3 linked regions of the Danio rerio genome follow. The protein of the gene in region 3 purifies or fractionates together with the protein of the main gene of each other region. This does not show direct contact. Links are inferred from orthologs where the notes say so. Each region holds a gene or a part of one and is shown on either strand. Other genes may lie near its edges.

Evidence for each region.
Region 1: the proteins of ptpn3 (region 3) and vangl1 purify together in Homo sapiens (affinity purification with mass spectrometry; 4 studies listed by BioGRID and IntAct, with this or other methods). This does not show direct contact. The link is inferred for Danio rerio from reciprocal best matches to the Homo sapiens genes PTPN3 and VANGL1.
Region 2: the proteins of ptpn3 (region 3) and kctd3 purify together in Homo sapiens (affinity purification with mass spectrometry; 4 studies listed by BioGRID and IntAct, with this or other methods). This does not show direct contact. The link is inferred for Danio rerio from reciprocal best matches to the Homo sapiens genes PTPN3 and KCTD3.

Annotation. Positions count from the first base shown.
Region 1 is NC_133184.1:34,727,896-34,736,111, forward strand, and holds part of vangl1 (vang-like protein 1), read left to right. Parts: intron 1-293; coding exon 294-728; intron 729-1,990; coding exon 1,991-2,166; intron 2,167-4,558; coding exon 4,559-4,692; intron 4,693-7,919; coding exon 7,920-7,955; intron 7,956-8,216.
Region 2 is NC_133192.1:30,815,105-30,823,320, forward strand, and holds part of kctd3 (BTB/POZ domain-containing protein KCTD3), read left to right. Parts: intron 1-85; coding exon 86-176; intron 177-268; coding exon 269-459; intron 460-1,908; coding exon 1,909-2,024; intron 2,025-4,210; coding exon 4,211-4,298; intron 4,299-5,681; coding exon 5,682-5,798; intron 5,799-5,882; coding exon 5,883-6,053; intron 6,054-7,162; coding exon 7,163-7,318; intron 7,319-7,449; coding exon 7,450-7,546; exon of another isoform or gene 7,547-8,167; intron 8,168-8,212; exon of another isoform or gene 8,213-8,216. UniProt on the Homo sapiens protein: Accessory subunit of potassium/sodium hyperpolarization-activated cyclic nucleotide-gated channel 3 (HCN3) up-regulating its cell-surface expression and current density without affecting its voltage dependence and kinetics.
Region 3 is NC_133191.1:29,716,668-29,724,883, reverse strand, and holds the end of ptpn3 (tyrosine-protein phosphatase non-receptor type 3), read right to left. Parts: intron 5,847-8,216; coding exon 5,701-5,846; intron 5,621-5,700; coding exon 5,485-5,620; intron 2,392-5,484; coding exon 2,323-2,391; 3' UTR 1,943-2,322; downstream 1-1,942. Other genes in the region: epb41l4b (band 4.1-like protein 4B), read right to left, coding at 196-450.

The DNA of each region.
Region 1 (8,216 bases), on a different chromosome or scaffold from region 3:
GACGTCTTACTGTTAAAACGTTTTCATTTGTTGTCAGTCAGCCTCTCAGTTCTCCGGCTCATTCATATGCAGATGTATGTGAGTTTTGAGTATTTGTCATTAATATATGCTGATGAGGGAGACCTGGGTACTTCCATACTGTCTGTCTGGATTAACAGATTTGTCATTTCATCAGCACCGAGGGAAACGTGGGCTGATCAATAGCTGAGTGCTGCGCTTGGGTTATGAATGGGGCTTTTAGGAGCATGTTGAATTTTTTATGCGTGTGATCTAAGCGACTGATCTCTCGACAGGATGACAACTGGGGTGAAACCACCACGGCGGTCACTGGAACATCAGACCACAGCTTGTCTCAAGAGGACCTGGCAGGCTTTGGGAAGGACACGGAGGGTCCAGTTGAGAAATTAAACTGTATACGCTTCCTTCCGTTGGCCCTGACCCTCCTCTTGGGTCTGCTGGTCCTGGTCACCCCTCTGTCCTTCCTGATTTTGCCACAGTTAATGTGGCCGGAGCGCCTGCAGACTTGCGGTACTGCATGTGAAGGCCTGTTTCTCTCACTGGCCTTCAAGCTCCTCATCCTGCTGCTGGCCGGCTGGGCTCTGTTTATGCGGCCGACAAGAGCTTCTCTGCCCAGGATAGCAGTGTTTCGTGCCCTGCTGGGTTTACTGACACTCCTCCTGCTGCTGTCCTATTGGCTGTTTTTTGGAGTGCGCATATTGGACTCACAGGTAAGGGCACATGTCTGAAAATAAAAAAAGTGGCAAGAGAAACATGTTCTTGATGAGATCTGCTAAATTGTAGATGTGCAAATTGTCTTTTATTAGAGTAGATACTCTAACATACACATGTGATTATTATTCTTTGTGATGCTGCACTTAAATTACACATCTAACAGTATAATTTACAAGAAGTTAAGAATATATATGTAATATGATGCTTACATCAGCATTCAAGGTTTAGGAGTTTTTGAAGTTCTTCTTATTAGTAGTAGAAACTTTTTTTATCTTCCATGAATTTTTCTTAAATTTGACATTTGAACGTGTAGGATTCAGATTTTTGATTATAAAAGTGCATGAGAGTTTAACTGCATTGAAGAATTTGAAATATTTCTGTAGAAACAAATGTAATAATACTATGTCCCGATCAGATTTTTTTGCCCTCAAGTCTGAGTCATTTGATTTTGAGTATCTACTAATACCAAAACCCGATCCGATACTTCTATAATCCATAAAAAGAATAAAGAAGAGAGAAGGAACAGATCCATGATGTTCTATATTTTTTATGTCTAATTTACCTTATTTTAACATTCAACACTTCTATTTACAAACACAGCACTTCTGTGAGGTAGATTAAACATTTAAGTAATAAATAACATCAGTTCTACTTTGCCGGCATTTAACCAATAGCGTCTCTGCAACAAAGTGATGTCATGCCGGATGCGTTGCTGTTTCTGTGTGAAGTCATGAAAGAGGTCTAGCTCTGTGCCAACGCATAACTATAGATGTGTTAAAAAATAATGTACATATATATTCGAGTCCTGATCGGGAGGTAACATCCAATTCCAAGCGAGTATGAAACCATGTGATTGGGTCTGATTTCCAATCATGTAATTGAATCTGGACATCCCTAAAATGAAAGGACTTTATATTTAGTGCATTGAACTATGTTGGCCTACTTACAGTACATTTAATATAATCTTTTAACACAGTACATTCACATTAATGTATTTCACATTGTATTAATATTGAAAAATAATTTCCTGCATCTAAATCAGTATTTAATTTCTGTAGTTTCAACTATAATTACACCTACCCTAAACCTAAGCTCTTCACCCAATAAGCAGTACAATACACTACAAAGTGGGACTATACTATATATATCCTGAAAATGAAGATAAAACAGCATCTATTTTCTTTGAAGAACACCACTGAACCCAGTGCAGGTTTTTTTGATCCCCTTGGTGTATTGTTGCACTGTGTTTGATTGACAGGATGATAACTACCAAGGCATAGTGCAGTTTGCAGTATCACTGGTGGATGCTCTGCTGTTCATCCATTACCTGGCAGTGGTTCTGCTGGAGATCCGACATCTGCAGCCCTGCTTCTCTCTATGTGTCGTTCGCTCCACTGATGGAGAAACTCACCACTATAACATGGGACAACTCAGGTACCAGCTGATATTTATAAACAAACACTAATGCAAGAGTTCACACTTAGATATTGCTTGATAATAATAGCAGGTTTGGCATGCTGTCCTGGAAGAGAACCCAACCAGAGCTCTTGCCTGGTCAAAGATAAGGGAGTAAGGTGATACAGGTTATTTATTAAGTTTGGAATAATCTGATTGGTTTATTAATGAGTGCGGATGAGAGACCAGCCACGATCAATCATGTCACATGCTCCTCTCATGATTAGGTTGTGAAACTAACTTAAAAACATATGATATATGCTGTTTAAATGTTTTATAGTTCTGTATATTATAAGTTCCAATTAAACTCAATTCACTCTAGAGTACCAAAAAAGTTCCAAAAATTTTCTACTTCTGATTCTGTGAACTGACATATTCAAGAAACTTGATACAAATAAACACCTTTAACAAATAAACAAGCATTTGCAGTTCCTTATTGAAATCCAAGAAGTGTTGCATACTTTTTATTTTTGATAATGTTTATTAAACCAACTAAATCCCAGATTTACCAACAGTTTGCCTAATTTTGGTACAAAAATGCTTCTGTCAGCAATTATTAAAGACAGAAAAAGTGATGTGAAGTGTTCTTATAGAACAATTAGTTGCAGGAATTTACAAAAACTACAAGAGGAGAGTATGAACCCTTTTCACATTTCCAGGTTTCTCAGTAGTAGAAGGCATCATGGTTGGGTAAACTTAAAGCGCAGTAAATGGGAGAGTACAACAAATATTTTTTACAGCCCTGTTTGCTGTAATAATAAAAGAAAACTTCATGATGGTGTTAATAACACTTTCAAAAAAATAAAAAAAAATAGTGTGAGACTGATGACGGCAGCCAGAGGAGAGAATAATGTCAAATTAATCTCAGCCCCATAGACGCTAACACCTCGCATACTGTAAGCGGTAGTTCGTTTTTTAAGTTTTGTGAAACGGGTGGCAAGGTTATTTGCTAAGGTCTATATACTGGCATTTGTGACATTTAATGCATATAAAGCATGTCTTAACCCTTTTTCTTGACATGGCTGCTGGAAGGAGGCAGAGAAGTAAAAGTTTTTAAGTCTTAAATTAGTGTTACATTTTATTAAAAAGCAATAACAGGTCTTTTGAACTCTTGTCAGATTATTTTTGGGATTATAGAAATATATTCTGTGTCTGGCTTCTTCAATTTGCCAAATTGTCAGTAGAAACAACTGATTAACTTCACACTCCCATCAGCACTTTTAGGATATTGCAGACTCATGTTAATTTGCTCTGTTTAGTACTTCTGTCTTTATGTGCAGCCGTGGAAGAAAAAAAGTGTGTAGTTATGTATTTATAAGTAGGGGGTTGAGTAATTATATCTTTCAGATTTCTTTTTTTCTTTTCAGAAAATTATAAGGATGCTTTGATCGATCGGCCAGAGATCAGTATCGGCCGATAATCACTTTTTATATAATCGGTAGTCTCTAATCTGGCCGATCACATGAACCGATCGCAAGTGTTCGTTTACAGATAGAGTAAAGCTGCTTTTGACCATGACATGTCCACACTAAATGGTTATAAGAGATGTGTTGAAAGGATTATATGCAACATCCTTCATTTATTATCTTAGGTAAGTTGAGATCTCAACATCAGGATCATACTTAGAGGGAAAATGTGCTTTAAAAAATATTTAGGTTATATAAAGCCTAAAGCATCAGAATCTGTATTCGGTATCAGCCGATCACGATGACAAAGAATTGTTACATGGCAAAAATGCTAAATCATCTAACAACATTTTAAAAAATATTTTTTTACGAATTTAAATTCAGAAGAAGTGTCATCATCAGCAGAAATAAAACAATAAAACAATAACACAGCTACAGCATAAATTAAAAAAACTTTTTTTGTGGTAATTTTTTTTTTCCCAGGGATAGTTTTGCCTCTAATTGGGCTGAGATATTGTCTACATACATAAACTGTGTATGTGTGTGTGTGCTGTTTAATGTATTAATAATGAGTTGAGTTTGGGCCAAGGGAAAATGGTCCATTAATCACTCCATTACAGACACTCCCTACTTTGCCCTGCGTTGCTTCCCCTCTCCCTTCCTTTCTCCTGCCCGACGCTTTCCTTTGTTCCTGCTTTCATTGTTTCATTGGCTGAACATTTCTGATTCAGTGCTGCTGCAGAGTCAAGCAACAACACACACACACATATGTCAGAGGGAAATCTGTTAGTATCTGATGTCCGTTTAATGAAATGCATGATGGGATTGTGTTTGAATAGACAACCAAACCCCTATTATCAGTGAACATTACAAGGTTTCTCTCACCCTCTCTCTCTCTCTCTCTCTCTCTCTCTCTCTCTCTCTCTCTCTCTCTCTCTCTCTCTCTCTTTTTTTTTTCTGTGTAGTATTCAGCGGGCAGCCCTGGTAATTCTTGAGCACTATTATAAGGATTTCACAGTTCACAACCCTGCCCTACTGACAGCTGCTAAGTCCAGGGCGGCTAAACATCTGGCCGGGCTGAAAGTCTATAATGTGGATGGTGAGTTTAATCTGAGTCTGACTGTTTTCTGACCTTATGCTTGATTTCTTAAACAAGACTTTGTGATTGAGTTGATTAAAGTTGTCTATATGAAAGGTGTTCACTTTGATAAATATGGTGGTCTTATATTAAATATTTCTCCTAGATTTAAGAATCAATGTCTCCTACTTAAAGATTATTGTCCAAAGAATTACCTTTTAAGCTTCTGAAGAAAAGAAAACACGACAAAATCAATGTCTCAACCTGCCAATCAAAAGAATGAGGATTAAGAATGAACGATTGTTGTCTGGTTCTTTCAGCATTACAGTAAATTATCTGAGCAATGCAATGTACGTTAAATGTAAAATATTAGAGCTTTATATTTGATAAACCAAACTGACATAAGATTTAACGCTTATTTTTTAAAGGGCACCTATTTTACCCCTTTTAACAGATGTAAGATAAGCCTTTGGTGTCTCTAGAATGTCGTCACCTTATAATTATAAGATTCTATCTGACATTTTTGTCAAAATTGAGTTATTGATATATTCTTGTGACAAATTATTGACAAATTATTTTCATTATGGAAAGTTGTTTACATTTTAAGACTTTTTATTTAAAAATCAATTGTTACACACATACTGTTTGCTATGGAATGCAAAAACTTTGAAGCTCAATACTTCAAAATCGTTCCAAACGCGCATAGAACCTTATAATTCTAAGGTGATGATGTGTCTGTAAAGTTTCAGCTCAAAATACCCATCAGATAATTTGTTATAGCCTCCAGAATCTGCCCATTTTGGTGTCTTGACTACAGTGTGGCTGTAATTATAGCCTGTGGGTTTAAATGCAAATGAACTGCTTCTCCCTGCCCACCACTGCCACGTGCATGTCTGCTTTTGTATGTGTTACGTTAGATAAACAGTCATCAGTGATTGTCCGCCACCGATGAAGCTGAAATACAGCTCATTTGTCAAAAACATCTAGTCAGTTTATTTCATGTATTTTTGGTGGCATTAATTCAAGCCTTTCTGAAACGAAATTCCATTTGCAGTACACACACACACACACACACACACACACACACACACACACACACACACACACACACACACATATGCGTTTACTGACACTGTGCTGCCATAATGATTACAGCTGTTAAGAATTACATAGTGATTTTACTTTATTACAAACATGCTTTTTTTGAGACGTTTTAAACTTATAAAACTTATAAAAATCACAGAGAGTTGAAACATATTTTAATCCCAGTTTATCTGCAAAATAATTATTCTGTGGACGTGTGTACATGTTTTTTTAGAAACATGCAACCTGTCAATCATTTCTTTGTGAGGTAAAAATTGCACTCCCACCTCACGTTGCGGTGGATCTCAAAATCACTGGTTTTTGGTTCTATTTTAACGTCAGGAAATTTTAAAAAAAGAGACTTACTGTGTTTATATGACTCCAATATGACTCACTAAACATACACACAGTTCTGTCCAAAGAGCTTCCAAAAGTTGATTTTCATCATAGGTGCCCTTTAAATTCATAATTAATAATTTTAAAAGCAAATAAGTGGGTTTATTTATAGTGTGTTCTGTAGGTTTACTTATGGATGTTAATTGTTTTTGAGGTGACATTAACAGGGGTTAAAATGTCAAGATAAACAAGATAAAAAGACATTTAAAATGGTATTGCACCATTTATACTGAATCAATTATCATTCATGATTATAGTGTTGTGTGAACAATTATTTTATTTTAAAAAGTGTCAGTTTGCTGCATTGCTATTTAGATCATCACTTTAATTATGACATTTCTGACTGTGTATTATATGAATTAGCCACTAAACTGACAAAACATAAAATACTTACGTTTTCTCGTGAGATCAGGCTGTTATACTGAATTACTCACCCTTTAATTGATCAAAACCTACATGATTTTTTCTTTTTCCTCTGTTAAATACAAAAGAAGATATTTAGAAAAATGCTGGTTCCTGGCACCCATTAACTTCCATGGTTTTTTTTCTACTATGGAAGAATATCTTCTTTTGTGTTTAACAGAAGAAACTCATAAAGGATTAAAACCACATGAGGTAGAGTAAATGATGAGGTAATTTTCATTTTTGGGAGAACTAGCCCAATCAGCATATAAAATTTTGTTCAGTATTATTTAGATTAGATTAGATTCAACTTTATTGTCATTACACATGTACAAGTACAATGCAACGAAATGCAGTTTAGGTCTAACCAGCAGTGCAATAGCAGCATTTACTGTCCTTACAATTACTCAAAAGGTATTACAACACATTATGATGTTGTTTATAATAATACATTAATGCTATTTTATTTCATTTAAAATACAGACTTTTTAGAAAGTGTTAACAATTAATTTTTTTGATTTGTTAAATGATTACCCTTGATCTTTATCACTGTATACTGTATCAACAGTGTATTCTTATTTGTACAGTTTTCACTTGCTTGAGCAAACTTTATTCTAAGGATCAGGAAGGATTAACAAAGGATTTTAAAAAAAGCAACATCTAAGAAGGTGGCGCGGTAGTGCAGTGGGTAGTGATGTCACCTCACAGCAAGAAGGTCGCTGGTTCGAGCCTCAGCTGGACCAGTTGACATTTCTGTGTGGAGTTTGCATGTTCTCCCAGTGCTCCAGTTTCGCCCACAGACACGTGCTATAGGTGAATTGGGTAAGCTAAATTATCCATGGTTTATGTGTGTGAATGAGAGTGCATGGGAATTTCCCAGTGATGGGTTGCAGCTGGAAGGCCATCTGCTGCGTAAAACATAAATGAATGAATGAACATCTGAGAAATAATATCATCCTAGACTTGTTAAATGGAGGTAGACCTAAAGTTATAGTTTACCACATTTTTTTTTATTTGGTCAGCATATCCTACTTTACATATTTTTCCAAATTATTTCAGTTTCATGAATGAAGATCTGTTGAAGAATATACTGAAGAAAAACCATCATTGACTTCAATTCTATTTCTTAATATGGAAGTCAATGGCTTCTTTTTATCCCGACATTATTCAGAATATCTTGTTTTATGTTCAACAGAAAAAAGAAACTCATAAAAGTTTAGAACCACTTGATTGTAAGTAAATGGGTTAATTTTTTGGGTGAACTATCCCTTTAACAAAACACCCATTCACACTTTTAATGCAGCAACTCTGCCATGTCAATCCGTTTCCACCATCAATTAATACCCCATCTGTGTTTCTCTCTGCAGAGTTTAAAGCCAAACTGAAAAGCTATCTTTTCGATTGTAAGTTCGGACGATGAAATGCATTCAAAAACCCTTTCACTGAAACACTGAGCTGTGAAATGCTCCACGTGTCATGAGAGTTATTTGCTTGTGCATGCAATCATTGTACACCGTGCACAAGGTCACAAACTTTGATGATAAATTGATTCAGGTGAAATGAAGGCACTTGTACTTGCAATTCCCACAGTAAGCTGTAAAAATCTGCACATTAAAAGTCAATAATTCCCACTCACCCCAGTTCTCAACACACCCAGTATCTCT
Region 2 (8,216 bases), on a different chromosome or scaffold from region 3:
CTACATGGAGGGGAATTTTCAAAAACCCATAATATGGGCTCTTTAAAACGCACTGTGTTTTTCTGTGTGTTTAATGCTATAACAGGATCGCCAGTGGACCCTAGGAAGGTGCTGATTGTCGCTGGACATCATAACTGGATTGTAGCTGCTTATGCACATTTTGTCATTTGCTACAGGTAAAGCTACATGTCACGTGATTTTGATAATATAACAATAATTTTGGTGATAATAAAAATAATAAAACAATAATATTGGTTGTTTACTGTAGGATAAAGGAATCCTCAGGCTGGCAGCAGGTGTTTTCCAGCCCTTACCTGGAATGGGCCATTGAGCGTGTGGCTCTCAATGCTAAAGTTGTTGGCGGACCACATGGCGATAAAGACAAGATGGTGGCGGCATCATCAGAGAACAGAATAATATTGTGGAGCATCCAGGATGGAGGGAATGGAAGTGAAATAGGTGGGTGGACAGCAATGTTACAGTGCTGGAATTCTACAATATATATACTCGATACCATTTTCGATACTATAGGGAAATATTGCCAAAGCATTCATCAAAATTACAATATATATATATATATATATATATATATATATATATATATATATATATATATATATATTTATATATATATATTTGACATTTAAAGGCTTAACTAGGTTAATTAGGTTAACTAGGCAGGTTAGGGTAATTAGGCAAGTTATTATATAACGATGGTTTGTTCTGTAGACTATCAAAAATAAATTTAGCTTAAAGGGGCGAATAATTTTGTCCTTAAAATGGTGTTTAAAAGATGAATACCTGCTTTTATTCTAGCCTGAATAACACAAATATGACTTTCTCCACAAGAAAAAATATTATCAGACATACTGTGAAAATGTCTTTGCTCTGTTAAACATAATTTGGGAAATATTTAAAAAAAGTGGGGGGAAAAAATTCTGACTTCAACTGTATGTATATGTATATATATATATATATATATATATATATATATATATATATATATATATATATAATATATATAGATATGTCTTAATTTCTTCATGTGCAAACTATAAAGTGTTTTTTACTCTTACTCCAGTCAAGCCAGTGGTTCAGATTTTCACTCGTCCTGCCACAATGTTTCCTGGCCCATCCAGAAAAAAATATTAATAAAAGAATAGAGTGCCTGTAGAAAATCATTACACCACTTTGAAATAGTGACTTTATTTGTCAAACAGCCTGAAATCAAATCATGCTCTTTCAACTTTCCTAGCCTAAATTGTTTTGTAGCCTCTTTTCCTAATCTGTGCCTTTCTACAACTTTATCCCGAAGATAAAGAGATTTTCCCAGGATATGATGATTTTCTATAGGCACTATAAATAAACTCATATAAATTATTTGTTTTGTTTTGAAGCTGTTCCAATTTCAGTATTGGAGAAGTAACAACAACAAGTAAAAAGCAATTAGTTACTTTCTATTAGTTTAAAGTGAGTAAACCAGTTGCCTTGAAAGCAACAAGTTGATTTGACTTAAATGCCTCATATCGCCAAGCTTTCACTTTCGCCATTTTGCTTTTTGCTAAGCCATGACTGTGTTTGTTATTCTTTCTCCTTCTGTCTTCTTGCTTTCTGATTGGATACTATTTTGTTATAATCTCTGGCTCAAATGCATGTTTGTGCTTGGGGTTCCTACACACACATGAACAGTCAACACAGATATACCACATTACTTAACATTCTTAACGTAGGTCTAACGGTACTTTTGTATTTTGTTGCTGAGTAATGCTAATGACATCAAGTTGCTGCTGTCACTAAGAATAATCTGTTTACTATTGAAAAATCATTTTGACAACACTAGTGGACAGAACAGAAATGAAATCCCCAATTACCATTTGTTTAAGTCAATGTTTCTCTGTCTTTATGAAGGAGTGTTCAGTCTTGGTGTACCTGTTGATTCTCTATTTTTCATCGGGAGTCAGCTAGTTGCCACCAGTCACACGGGGAAGGTAGGAGTTTGGAACGCCGTCACACAGCACTGGCAGGTAAACAATTCAGATTTAAAGTATATCTATTACTTGTTAAAGCTGTTACTGGGTCTAAACTCTCTTATCAAAAATGAACAACAAATGTACAGTGTGCTGTAATACTGTTTCAATCACAGGTCTCAAACTGCATTCCAGGAGGGCCGCAGCTCTGCACAGTTTTGCTACAACCCTAATCAAACACAGCTGATCCAACTAATCAAGGTGTTCAAGACTACTTGAGACTGTTAAGCAGGTGTGAACTATACTAAATTATGCAGAGCTGCGGCCCTCCAGAAATTGAGTTTGAGACCATAGGTTTAAGGGATCATGATCATAATGTTTAAATCCTAGTTTAATCTCAGATGATCTTTGATTGTGTGATTGATCTTTTGAAAGTTGTTAAAATATTTAGGCGGCATTTACACTGCACTGTTCAAGTGACTCAATTCCGATTTTTTCTCCCATGTGGCACAGATCGGATATGGCCCATGTACGTGTAAGCAGGAACAAATCACATGGATTCTGATTTACTCAAATCAGTTTCAGGCCTTGTTCATATGTGGAAATTTATCCGATATGAATCTGATCTGTGTTCTCGTGTCTGCAGTGTTAGCAGGTTGATTGGATTTTCACCAATGCAAGTCGCGCGTCATTAAAAACTGTAGCGAATGACGTCAAGTCTGACAATTTAATTTCAGAACAGACTTCAGCAGAGTCCCAAACCTTAAATCTCTGACACGAGAACTTAAACAGCTTTTATATTGTCATAAAGCACAGGTATTTAAGCATGTTAACAAGAGCGAGAGAGCGCAGTGTCCGCCACGTAACCAATTTAAACTAATATAAAACTAGTGCATAGCTACTGTCACCGACTCGGTCCCAGTCATTGCCCTCGCTGCCCAGCAGAGGTCATCATCACCTGACTTTTAACATTACGTCATTCCCACTGACTGATTGGCACATACACCTGCAGCGCATTTCTTAATCACTCACCTCACACATATAAGCAGCACACACACGCTGCTTCAGTGCGAAGTCTTGTTCTGCCCCGGCTAACACTACTGAGCGTTTCTGATCCTTGCCTGCTTTCCCGCTGACAACCCCGGACTGTATCTCGACCTTGTATTGCCTGCCGCCTGCCCTGAACTCTAGCCTGTACATCAACTTTGATCCTCGCCGCCTGCCTTTGACCCATGCCTGAATACTCACCTTGTGTTTGCCTGCCACCAGCCCTTCGACTAACTACAACTGTGTGTGATGTGAGTTCGCACACGCTTAACATCTGTTTGCTTATTGTTATTAAACTCTGTTTAATAAATATACTGCAAATGGATCCCTCTGTGTCAGACCCTTCGTTACAGCTACATCATGTGCATAAATCACGCCATGGACATCAAGATACCTAAAGGTTTAAAAAAGCCTATATGTCAAAAGAAGATTGACAAATGAGAACCTTTCTGTCCTAAATCATAGTAAAACAGCTTGTAAAAAGCTGTGAACAGATTACATACAGGAATAGAGAAAAGAGCACTCTTTAATTATCAGCTGTTAGTCAGCGCCTGCTCTTTTTTTTTTTTGTCCTGATCATTTCACCTTTGCCTTGTGCAGTGTAAATGCAGACGATCAGATATGAGTCACTTTTAAAAGATGATGTAAGCAGGCCATCAAAAATATCGGATACAGTCACAAAATTGGAATTGACCATCAAGATCTGCAGTGCAAATGCAGCCTAAAGCGGGTCGCACACCAGAAGCGCCACTCAGCGGCGCGCCGCGCAGCGCCACGCAACACCATGTATTTTAGAATTCTAAACATAGGTTTCTATCAGGATACACACACCGGCGCCGCAAGTCGGCGGCGCCCGGCGATGGCTCAGGACGCAGTTCATTTTTCAGCCGCGCCACAGAGCGCCATCTGATTAGTTTCATGTTAAATATCATTCGAATGTGCGCGTCTGGTGTGTCATACTTTAAACTGTCATGTACGCGCCGTGTCGCGGCGCCGAGTGGCGCTTCTGGTGTGCGACCTGCTTAATTACTTGTGATGTGATGCAACAAAAAAGGGATTATAAAGAACTATTGAGATTCTTAATTCAGGCGAGCAGAGGCTTGGACCCAGAAACAGTATTCCATACATCATCACAAATGAACAGATTATCACGTTCACATTTGATTGTGTTGTTTACAATGTATTTCTTTGTACAGGTACAGGATGTGGTGCCCATCACAAGCTGTGACACTGCTGGCTCTTTCCTCTTGCTGGGCTGTAACAACGGCTCCATTTACTATATTGGTAAGCTGCTTAACTTCTCCTAGATTGCAGTGAATATATTTGTATATGACGCATATATTTAATGGCCATCAAATATCATGGCCTTCATCTGCAACCCAGTACTGGGAAACATCCATACACACTCACCTCACCCATAGCGCATGTCTTTGGACTGTGGGGGAAACTGGAGCACCCGGAGGAAACACACGCGACACGCGGAGAACATGTAAACTCCACACAGAAATGTCAACTGATCAAGCCAGGACTCAAACCAGTGACCTTCTTGCTATGAGGTGACAGTGCTAACCACTGAGCCACCATGTCGCCTTTCTTGAGATCCATCTGTTACACAATACATTTATAACTATATCTATGACTATATAATAATAATAATAATTCCCTACATTTATATAGCGCTTTTCTGGGCCAGTGTGCAGCATCTACCTGGATGACGTGACAGCAGCCATTTTGCGCCAGACCGCACACCACACACCACACACCACACACCAGCTGATTGGTGGAGAAGAGACAGAGTGATGAAGCCAATTATGATATGGGGAGGGTTAGGAGGACATGATGGACAGAGACCAGTGGGCAGATTTGGCCAGGATGCTGGGGTGAAACCTCTATTCTTTTTTCAAAGACATTCTGGGATTTTTAATGACCACAGAGAGTCAGGACCTCAGTTTTACGTCTCATCCGAAAGACGGCGCTCACTGAGCAGTATAGCGTCCCCATCACTATACTGGGGCATTAGGACCCACACAGACCGCAGGTTGGGCGCCCCCAATGGCCTCACTAACACCACTTCCGGCAGCAACCTAGCTTTCCCATGTGGTCTCCCATCCAGGTACTGACTGGGCGCAGTCCTGCTTAGCTTCAGTGGGTGACCAAGTGAGAGTTGCAGAGAGTTAGCTGCCAGCAATATCTATATGTTTATCTATATATATATAACTATATAGTAAAGAAGAAAATTCTTTTCTCAGGCCATTCACCTCATGAAAAATTAAATACTCATATTCTGCAATAAACATGAGCAATACTTTCTCATACGGACTTGTACACAGCACCTTATAACAATATATAATGCAATACTTTCTCATATGCATACACAGCACCTTATAACTTGTATATTTATAACAAAGGTGTACATACACTTGTTTTATCTAGAGCTCTTCTGTCTAATAATTGCATCTCTGTCTTAAGTTTGTCGTCTTTTCTCATATTTATTTTTACAAAATTTAAAAAATTCCCCGAGTGTGTAAAGCACACTTGGCAATAAATCAGATTCTGATATTTCTCCATATCATTATTGTAAAAAAACATTCCATAAAACTGTAAACGACTAATAATTCCTGTTTTAAATATCATCATTTTAAACACCTATTTTTTCTCCACTTTTAGACATGCAGAAGTTTCCGCTGAGAATGAAGGACAATGATTTGCTGGTGACAGAGCTATATCACGACCCTTCAAATGATGCCATCACGGCCCTCAGTGTCTACCTGACTCCTAAAACCAGTGCGTCCAGTGATAGTTAATTACACTAACTGTATGATCACTGTAGTGGTGAGTCTGTCCAGTCACTGATCTCTGTGTTTGCAGGTGTGAGTGGGAACTGGATTGAGATCGCGTACGGGACGAGTTCAGGGGCTGTGCGTGTCATTGTACAGCATCCAGAAACGGTTGGGTCAGGTCCACAGCTCTTCCAGACCTTCACTGTTCACCGTAGTCCCGTCACTAAGATCATGCTCTCTGAAAAGCATTTGGTTTCAGGTAATCCTGACAATATAATTATAGAAAGTGTTATACATACTTGAATTTCCTCTTGGCTAGACTACTTTAACTGTATGAGTATTGGTCTTCCCCAGTCAACACTTTCTCGGTTAGAGATCGTTTAGAATGCTGCTGCTAGATTTTTTAAGAGCTCCTATTATACATTAAAAAGGGTTGTCATTGTCTAATAATATGAATTTATTTTTACCTGTCACAACAACTCCCATATGAACCGTTCAGCGACTCATTTGTTCCTAAACCCCTCCTTAGCGCGAAGCTAATCTGCTCTGATTGGACCGATGACAGCCTATTGCGATTGGTCTTCAGCATTCAGTGAGAGACAGAGTGAAATGCCCAGCATGGCTTATCAACTATATTGAAGTAGTCAGAGTGCATAATGTGTGTGTAAGCATACCTGCCAACACTCCTGTTTTTCCCCTGAGCCTCCCGTATTTCAGACCCATTCCAGCCACCCACCCATTTTGTTATTTATCTTGGAAAACTCTCGTAATTTCAACCATGATTCACTGATCCATGCACTGATAAAGTTTCTGTCGAGCTCTGACAAGTCCCTTACATCAATAAAGTTTTTTGATTTTTGAAGTGTGTAGATTCCAGCACTCAAACTGCATAAGGCTGGGCTATAGTGCTGAGGTATTTTTGCAAAAAAAAAAAAAAAAAAAGAGATTACTGCCCTAAAATATATTATTTTTAAATGTCTGGGTAAAAAAATAAAACATTTTCCCCTTTGTACACAATATATTTTATTTTGGGAAACATTTAAAATATGTTGGAGCAGTAAACATGTCAGGCTAAATAATTCAAATGAATCATTGACTTCTCCCTTGTCTTTGTCTCATTGCAATGGCTTCCTATAAAATTCAGAGTTAATTTTAAGATCCTTCTTTTTACATACAATGCTGTTTGTATTTTATATACAAATCTATACATACAGGTCTATATTTGTGATCTTATTAGGCAATATACAGCATGTAGGGTGCTAGGATTCTCCAAAATCTTGTCCAAGTATAGCATGGTACAGCAACAAGAAAATTTTTTTAAAATTTCACTGACCTCCACTGGGTAATATCGGTCTTGTTTTGTTGAAGTGTGTGCTGACAATAACCATGTACGCACATGGACGGTGACGCGGTTCAGAGGCATGATCTCCACTCAGCCAGGATCGACTCCGCTGGCCTCATTTAAGATCATCTCGTTGGAGGAAACAGAAAGCCACAACAGCTATTCCTCTGGAAATGACATCGGTGAGGGAGTAGTTTTCTTTCTTAGGAGGAACTAACAATTAGGTAGAACCACCTGCTATTCTTCATTATTCTGTAAACTGCACTGCTGTTGTGAGCAAACCAGTGAAATATAACTTCATGTCTGCATTCAGGCCCATTTGGAGAAAGAGATGACCAACAGGTGTTCATTCAGAAAGTCATTCCCATCACCAACAAACTCTTTGTTCGTCTGTCCTCTACAGGAAGGAGGTACATGACCTGTCACATTGATTGAATAATCATTTGATTGTCGTTAATAACTATTTGAGATAACCATTCAGTTATTTAAATTATTTGAGATAACCAAGATATTTGTGCAGTGTAATGTATTTTTTCAAAAATGTAAGCACATTAAGGCATGCACAAGTTATTGGCATTTATCACTTACATGTTCTTCAAATGACACACTTCAAAATGCTTCATTTTTACAATTAAAAGACTGGTTTACCCAGAAATAAAAAAAAATGTTATTAATGACTCACCCTTATATTGTTCCAATCCCCTGAGACCTACATACATCATTGGAAAAAGACCAGAAAAGGAACCTAAAACATTGTCAAAGTGACTTTGGTGGTTTAACTGTAATCAGTTGAAGCTGCAGCACATTTGTGTGGCAAAAAAGAAGAAAATATAACTTTGTGTGCCAATATCATCTCTAGATCGCTGGACTAGTATGGGTGTTTACTATAGGCCATACACCTAATCTGGTGTAAAATACATAGCCTAAAGACACTTTTTTTAATTATTATAATTTGCTGAAGTCTATAAAACTACTGAAGTCACATGGAATGTTTTCAAAGTGTTTTTGTTTCTTTTTCTACACTCAGAAACGTTCCTGTATATGGAGAATGAGAAATTTAATCTAAAATATCTAAGTTTT
Region 3 (8,216 bases):
GCTATAGGTGGGAAGTAAACAGGAGGACGGGAGCACGAGCACCATCTGTTTACCGGGACAGGACCCAATATCGGGGAAATCCGGCCGGCCACACAGCGACAGGCTGTCGAAATCTAACTTTACCCCTTAACACAACATTCAAAACACTCAAGGTGACTTTTCTCTCACACAAAGACAAGGAAGTCCTCCACTCACCGGTAACTCCACATTGACATCCGATCCGTCCAGCAGCAGGACTCTGCATGTGATGGCGTCTTTGCTGTTGCCCGCTGCGGGGATGTGCACTACGGCTCCCCCGGTCACTACGGTCGGCGCGTGAATCACCTGCTGCTGGTGCGCCTGGAGCACTGCGTTTCCGCCTCTAACGTTACCGGTCCCGTCTACCTCGCTCGGCGGCCGAGCGTTTCTTTTTGACCGACGGCTAAACGTCCTGCGCAGAAAGCCCATCATCTTCCCCCGCGAGACAGCGCTTTAATTAATCAGGGAAAACGGCACCGATACCGGACCGCTCAAGAAGAAGGCATCCAGCTGTTTCCCAGGCTTTCCACGACGACGAAAGGCGGCGTCTACCGGACTCAGCCGTGCAATGCAGAGGGAAGAAGTCGGCGACCTGTCACGAGCTCCGTTTCCTCGTGTCGTACGGGCGACAAAACAAGAGCACACCTGCCAGAAGCCACGGGAAGATGAGGTACTCCGGTCCTCCCGCTCATTTAACCTCGGATTCGGCCAAAAAGTGATCGCGCTTTAATTAAACTTCTCCTTTCGCTCACAGAAGTCCAGGCTCAGCTGACTGATGTCGCGTTAGTTGCTCTCTGTTATTGACCGAAACTGATGTACCTCTCAGGTAAGTCAACCAGAGGAACTGGCCAGGCAACCTGTTCTGCGCAAGCGTTAAATCTCAGGGCAACACTCAAAACTTTTTTTTTCCCGTTTTCGGGTCGGTGTGTGCGAGGCAGCGCAACCTGCTGGTAAGCCAAACAGTGACCGGCGTCAGGTTACCTTCACTCGAGCCACCATCACTGAATACCCCAGCAACCAGCACAAATCAAGCAGCCTTAATACAATTGCGTCAAGTCTGCTGCGAGGAAACAATGTGCGCCAGTCGTCAGCATTTCACGCACGCTCATTTCAGCTCCCTCCCCTCCTCCAAAAGTCATCACCATGAATAAGAGAACAGGCACAACGTGATAAGAATTGCACATTTTATTTATTTATTTATTAACAGAGGTGAATTGAATTATTCTAGTTGTAATTTGACTGCACATAGGTCAGTCTCACAAAGTGTTCAGGTCACAATTTAGCTTTTTTTAAGTAAACAAAACAACAAATGTTTACATTTGTTCTGATGTAAATAAGGCTTATTCTATCAAATATTGATCTATAAATTGGTATCATGTTGCCCAAAAAATAATATTGTCACCAATTGTCATTTTATGCTGTGAATGACAACATTATTTTTTACAAACGACAGCCGTTTTCCCCCCACAAACTATACATGGCAAATCCAGAGAAACTAAGAATGTCCGAGAACACAAACATACATATAGAATATATTATATTAAAATATATATTTCTTCCGATAAATTTGAAGTTTAATGAGCTTATTGTAATCACCACAACTGTTTGTACCGCATGTGCTTTAAGACAGTTAAGCTCACTGTACCTCACCCCAGTTCCAATTATAAAACACAAAAACTAATTCTTATGACTGTAATATGACAAATGTATGTACATTTAAATATAATTGTTCGTGTAAGCATTTATGTAATTATGTAATTGCAAGAACATTACTGTAATACAGTGGTAAATAATACCTATACAAATACAATAGCCAAGGAGTTAATACAGTAATGAAAATGATAAGGGAGGGGTGGTAAATATGCACAATTGATCAGCAAATAATGTACTAATTTAATAAAATAAAATAAAATCACACTTGAAATTTTCTAAATAGATTGCATTTTATTTGACATTTTTATTTCCTTGTGTTTTTAGGATGAAATGTGACCTGAACATGTCTTGACAGATTTTGTGAGAATCACCTAAATATAGCACTGTGTTTGTGTGTGGGACAGAGCAAGAGAGAGTGTGCTGTAGGGTCCTATAAGCTTCTACGTGTCAAAGTGCTTCATGTTCTTCCTTGATCCGCACAGCTGTCAGGAGAGCCACAGCAAGAGAAGAGATTGCCCATCCGTCTTTTTCAAGGCACACCCTCTACTTCCTGCCTCGTTTTCATCCAGTCTTTACTGACAGCTGGATCACAGCGGCCGAGCTTCTTCCTTCACTTCTGTGTCCTCAAACACTCCTCTACCGTCCCCGTTATCAACTGTTAGGTTTGACTTTCTCTCTGTACACCCTCAGAATGGCCTCACACACAAAGGTGAACTGACACTGCAAAACAAACATGCACACAGGATAAGCAATGGCAGGAATCAGCGTAATATATTCAACCTTCCCACCTTTGCATAGAAAGCTATTTCAGACTGGGATTTTACATTCAAACCACCAAGAGTGACCCTTATAAGGGAATAAGGAAAAAGGGATTGTCCCAATGGAGCAAACAAATTGCTTTAAACAGGGGTGTCCAAACTCGATTCTGAAGGGCCAATGTCCTGCCGAGTTTAGCTCCAACTTGCTTCAACACACCTGCCAGGAAGTTTCTATTATATCTAGAAAGAGCTTGATTAGCTGCTTCAGGTGTGTTTTATTAGGGTTGGAGCTAAACTCTCCAGGACACCGGCCCTCCAGGACCGGGTTTGGACACCCCTGGCTTTAAACCTTCATTAATCTGTATGGCATGTATAGCTCTGGGGTCAGGACGTTCTCAGATATCATTCTCCTAAAATATTATGTTATTTATTTAAATACCATATGTTTTTTTAAAGGTAAATGTAGGTTATATGGTGCATTGTTCATTGCAGAACTCCTTTATTAAAAAAAGAAAGAAAAAAATTGTTCTGAAAAGATCAAGTCTCAGCCAGGTAATAAAAAGTAACACAAAAGTAACTCAAAAGTAACGTAATGCATTACTTACCATAACAAGTAACTAATTAACGCAACTAGTTATTTTTTTAAGGGAATAACTCAATGTTGTAATGCATTACTCACAAAAGTACCCTACACTGGTTTTGATAATGTTTTGGATCCTTTTCAGGACTTTGAACATTTCAGGACCGTTGCTGTATATGGAGGATCAGAGAGCTCTCAGATTTCATCTGAAATATCTTAATATATGTTCTGTGGATGAATGAAGGTCTTAGAGAATTGGAACGATGTAAGGGCGTGAAATTAATATTTTTATTTTTGGGTGAACTAACCTTTTAAAGCATCATTTTATTGCACATCTCATAATCCCAAGTCTGAAATAGCAAGTCAACCAGCTACTTTTACCCCAGCTAATATGGAAATACAATATTTTCCATTAAATAGATTGCACCTGACTATAAGCTGCATGGTCAAAACTGCATTGTTAAAAAAATACATATACATAGGTCACATTTTATAATTGAATTCTAATATAATAAATAGATACAAACAAATAAAAAGACACACAACAAATCATTTAGATGTAACTGTAATCAGAACAGAGGTTATTAAACATTTTAAGTAGAATAAAAAAAGAAACTAGTGGCTTTCATTATAAACAACATAAAATAAGTGTTAAGCCTACTGTAAATGAACATATGGTGAAATTGAAACTTCAGACATCTTGGAAATGTGCTATACAAAAAAAAATCTCCTCACTCTCATTCTCAGACATTATCATCAATATATTTTTTTAATATACATTGTCAATAAATAGCGTAATAAACAAGTGTATACTATTTCACAAATATGGCGGTTGAGATGGGCGAATGGGGAACATTGTTTCAATATAATAATAATTCAATATAATAATAGACTGGACATTTTTCTATCAGTCATCATAGATGATCAGTCATTATTTATCTGACAGGGTCAATATGGCAGATAGGCTACTCATTTGCTGGCATTGCTAAAACAGTTTTCAGAGATTTATAAACAATCTAAATTGGACAGAATTATTTTAAATATAATGTATTTATTATAATGAAGGAAATAATAGCAAGTTAATATGTATAGACCATTTTGAGGAATGTAAACAAAAACAATGGTTCCAACGTATTTCCTGTTTTACATGTTTAATTTCTGTAGCTGCCGAGAATCCAAACAGACCCACACATTGATAAATAATGTTATGATAACTGTTTTAACGTTGACATCAACACTGAAATGGTACATTTAATAAATGTTTAACACTACATTAATATTTTACTCCAGCGATTTAATAATATTTCTTTTGCTTAATTTTCTAACAACTTTTTTTTGTTAATTATTTCCTACATTAAATACTGTACTAATTTATAAGTAATATATTGTATTTATATTGTTACAAAGGGTTTTTAAACCATAAGGTACTGGTGTGTGTGTGTGTGTGTGTGTGTGTGTGTGTGTGTGTGTGTGTGTGTGTGTGTGTGTGTGTGTGTATATATATATATATATATATATTATTAACAGTTGCTACACTTTAGTATTAGTAAAAGATAAAGTAGTTTATCAGTTTATAATTATATTATTTTTAATTATTAACTATAGTAATTTATTTTAATGTGACACATTATTGTTTGTTTTTTATATTTACCTACAAAATGATTTTAACCAAGTATGACAACATTAAGATCCTGAAGAAGAGTAATCAGTCATTAACCATATATGGTTTGCCTAGATTTTGTGAGCTAGATTGTGTGTGTGCCTGAAACGTGTGTGTTTGGATATACAGTTGAAGTCAGAATTATGATTATCCCCCCTTTGATTTTTTTTATTTTTTTTAATAATTCCCAAACTATGTTAAACAGACCAAAGAACTTTTCACATTATGTCTGATAATATTTTTTTCTTCTGGAGAAAGTCTTATTTGTTTTTTTTCCGGCTAAAATAAAAGCAGTTTTTCATTTAAAAAAATATATATTTTTGGGACAAAATGATTAGCCCCTTTAAGCTGTATTTACTTTCTTTAGTCTACAGAACAAACCATCATTATACAATAACTTGCCTAGTTACCCTAACCTGCCTAGTTAACCTAATTAACCGACTTAAACCTTTAAATGTCACTTTAAGCTGTATAGAAGTTTCCTAAAAAATATCTAGTCAAATATTATTTACTGTCATCATGACACAGATAAAAGAAATCAGTTATTAGAAAAGAGTTATTAAAACTATTATGTTTAGAAATGCGTTGAAGAAATCTTCTCTCCGCTGAACAGAAATTGGGGGAAAAAATAAACAGGGAGGCTAATAATTCGGGGGGCTAATAATTTTGACTTCAACTGTATCTCGACTGGACACAACCAACTGGCTCTAATAGTTGAATAGGTTTGAGTCAAAATCAGCTGTTGGATGGAAAGACCATCTGTAACTTTTGAAACTTTATATTTTGAGTACGTGATTGTGTGTACGAAGTTGTACCGATGTCTGAACCAGCATGGCCCTCTGTTCTCTCATCAGGGTAATGACCTCTAGGGGATACACTGGCTTTTCCTTCTCCATCAGTGTCATGGCGGTCTCCATGGTGATCAAAACACCCGTCCGGCCGATGCCAGCACTGCAGGAAAAACACATTGGCTCTGTGTAAGACGAGCGCCCGATAACATCTGTCTGCCTGTGTGCTGGAAGTCCCCTCACCTGCAGTGGACCATTAGAGGCACAGACTCCTGCCTCATGCTTCTCACTGACTTGACAAAATCCAGGAAGTCTGAGGAATCTTCTGGTACCCCGTGATCAGGCCAGGCAACATACTGTAAATGAGTGATTGAGCGCTGCTGTCCTGACTGTAGAATGAAAAAACAAATAGAGTGAGAGAAAGGGCGAGGCTGAGTGCAAGAGAATGCTTGAATGAGTTCGCAAGAAAGCAGACAAGTCTAAGCATGCCTGTGCTTTTCCTTATCCAGAAAAAAAATGTATAAGAAATATTTCTTAGATGAAAGCATTGGGGATTTTCAGCGCCTATGTCTATTTATTAAAGGGCACCTATTTTACCCCATTTTCAAGATTCTTTTCAAGTCTTTTGTGTCTCGAGAATTTATCTATAAAGTTTAATCTCAAAACACCCATCAAATTATTTATTAAACCTTTCAGAAAATTGGGATTTTCTACTCTGAACAAAATCTAGCAGTTTTTGCTGCCTGTATATTTAATGCTAGTTCTCCCCACCCACCATTCCCACGTGCCTCTCAAAGTGTGCCTCAATCTCTGCCCTCGACTGAGTCAGATAAACAGCACAGTGACAGACATGAAGAAAGCAGATCTCACGTAATGTTTGTGAGAAATACTACGATAAACACTTTCCCAATGATTATTTGATGTATTTGTTGTGGAGTCAACGATGAGTCACACACACAATGTCATTACAAAGTTCACGCAGACACACACACACACACACACACACACACACACACACACACACACACACACACACACACACACACACACACACACACACACACACACACACAGCGCATGCGTTTAACTGCACTTTTTACACGCAAAAGTCACAGGACACACGTTAATATCCACTGCTAATATCCCTGGTTTCATCTTCATCCTCCTGCCAATGTAGATGTAGAACTGAAGCATCTAATAATAATTTACAATGAAGAAGGGCAGAGGGTTGCTGAATAATTACTGAGAGATTTCAGCTGTTGTCTGGCCTTTCACTGTCTTTCTATACCTTTTTTATTTGTGTCTTCCCTACTTTTTTCCCTGCGTCATTTTATTTTATTATGCATAACTTCAAATGCATAATATTTGAAAAAAATTCAAGTCAACAGCACTTATAGAAAAATGTTTTTTGAGAAAAATGTTTTCCCCACTGTAAATTGTTTTTGCACATATTTTTATGGATGACCTCTACTAATCAAGGAAAATGTTTTACAGACACAATTTTAAATATCCCTATATTTTAATAGTAAAATAAGGCATATTCTGATTACCTATTTACATTACATTTTTAGAATAAATTCAAAATAATTGGTTATAGGAGCACAAAAAATGCATAAATAAATAAATTCATTAATTTAAATCACACATGTTTTTCTATTGGAATTTTCATAAGTAGGCATGCTAAAAACCACTAGATTTTTCTGTTATACCGTTCCTATAGTATATATAAGGGCTTTTAAAATGTTTTTATGTGTTGTAAATAAATTTGTGTTTTTGAAACTAATGAATTATTTTAATAATTTAGCCTGACATTTTCTGAAATATTAAAGTTTCCTAAAGTAAAAAATATTGTGTTCAATGGGGTAAAAAAAAAATTACCCAAACATTAAAAAAAAAAACTTATTTTAGAGCAGTAATCACAATACTGTGATAACGTGAAACCATGGTATTTTTATTATTATTTTTTAAGATTTATTTTTGGCCTTTTTGCCTTTATTAGATAGGACAGTATTGAGACAGGAAGCGAAGTGGGAGAGAGAGAGAGGGGGTAAGGAAATGTCGTCGAGCCGGGATTTGAACTTGCGACGCCCTGACGTGCTATTGCACCATATGTCGACGCGCAAACCACTAGGCTATTGCGCCGACTAAACCGTAGTATTTTTATCCAAGCTTATACCATCCGAAACTATTCCGGCCCATGCCTACTCATAAGTGTATAATCATGTTAATTTTTCCCATTACATTTTCCGATCCCGAGGGTCAAATCAGATCAGCTTTTTATGCATTTTATAAATGAAGCCCATGTCATTCCAGCCTTTCTTCAAAACTACATTTCAGCTCAGAATGATCTAAACGCTGACATTTTAAAATCCCCCCAGTCTATCATTCATGATCTTATAAGTAGGTGAAGTGCAAAGTAATGATCTTTATGTTCTTGAATATATGAGTCACACTCTAAAGGCCAAACTTGAAAAAAAATAAAAATCCTTTATTGTGACAAATCAGCCAGAAAGGAATAATTGGTTCGCAAGCTGTGAGATACAAACATTCACACATTGGCATTTTTCCTGTACCCCCCAATCATCCCGTTCCTTTCTCCTTTTCTTTATTTTCATTTGAGATACACACACACGCGCACCATATATGGACGACGAATGTGTGATGTAACCTCCGTCTGCTGTCCGTGCTCAGATTAACTCCCACCAACAGAGACAACAGATGGGTCTCCGTTTTCCAGCAATGATAGATTGTTTTGTGAG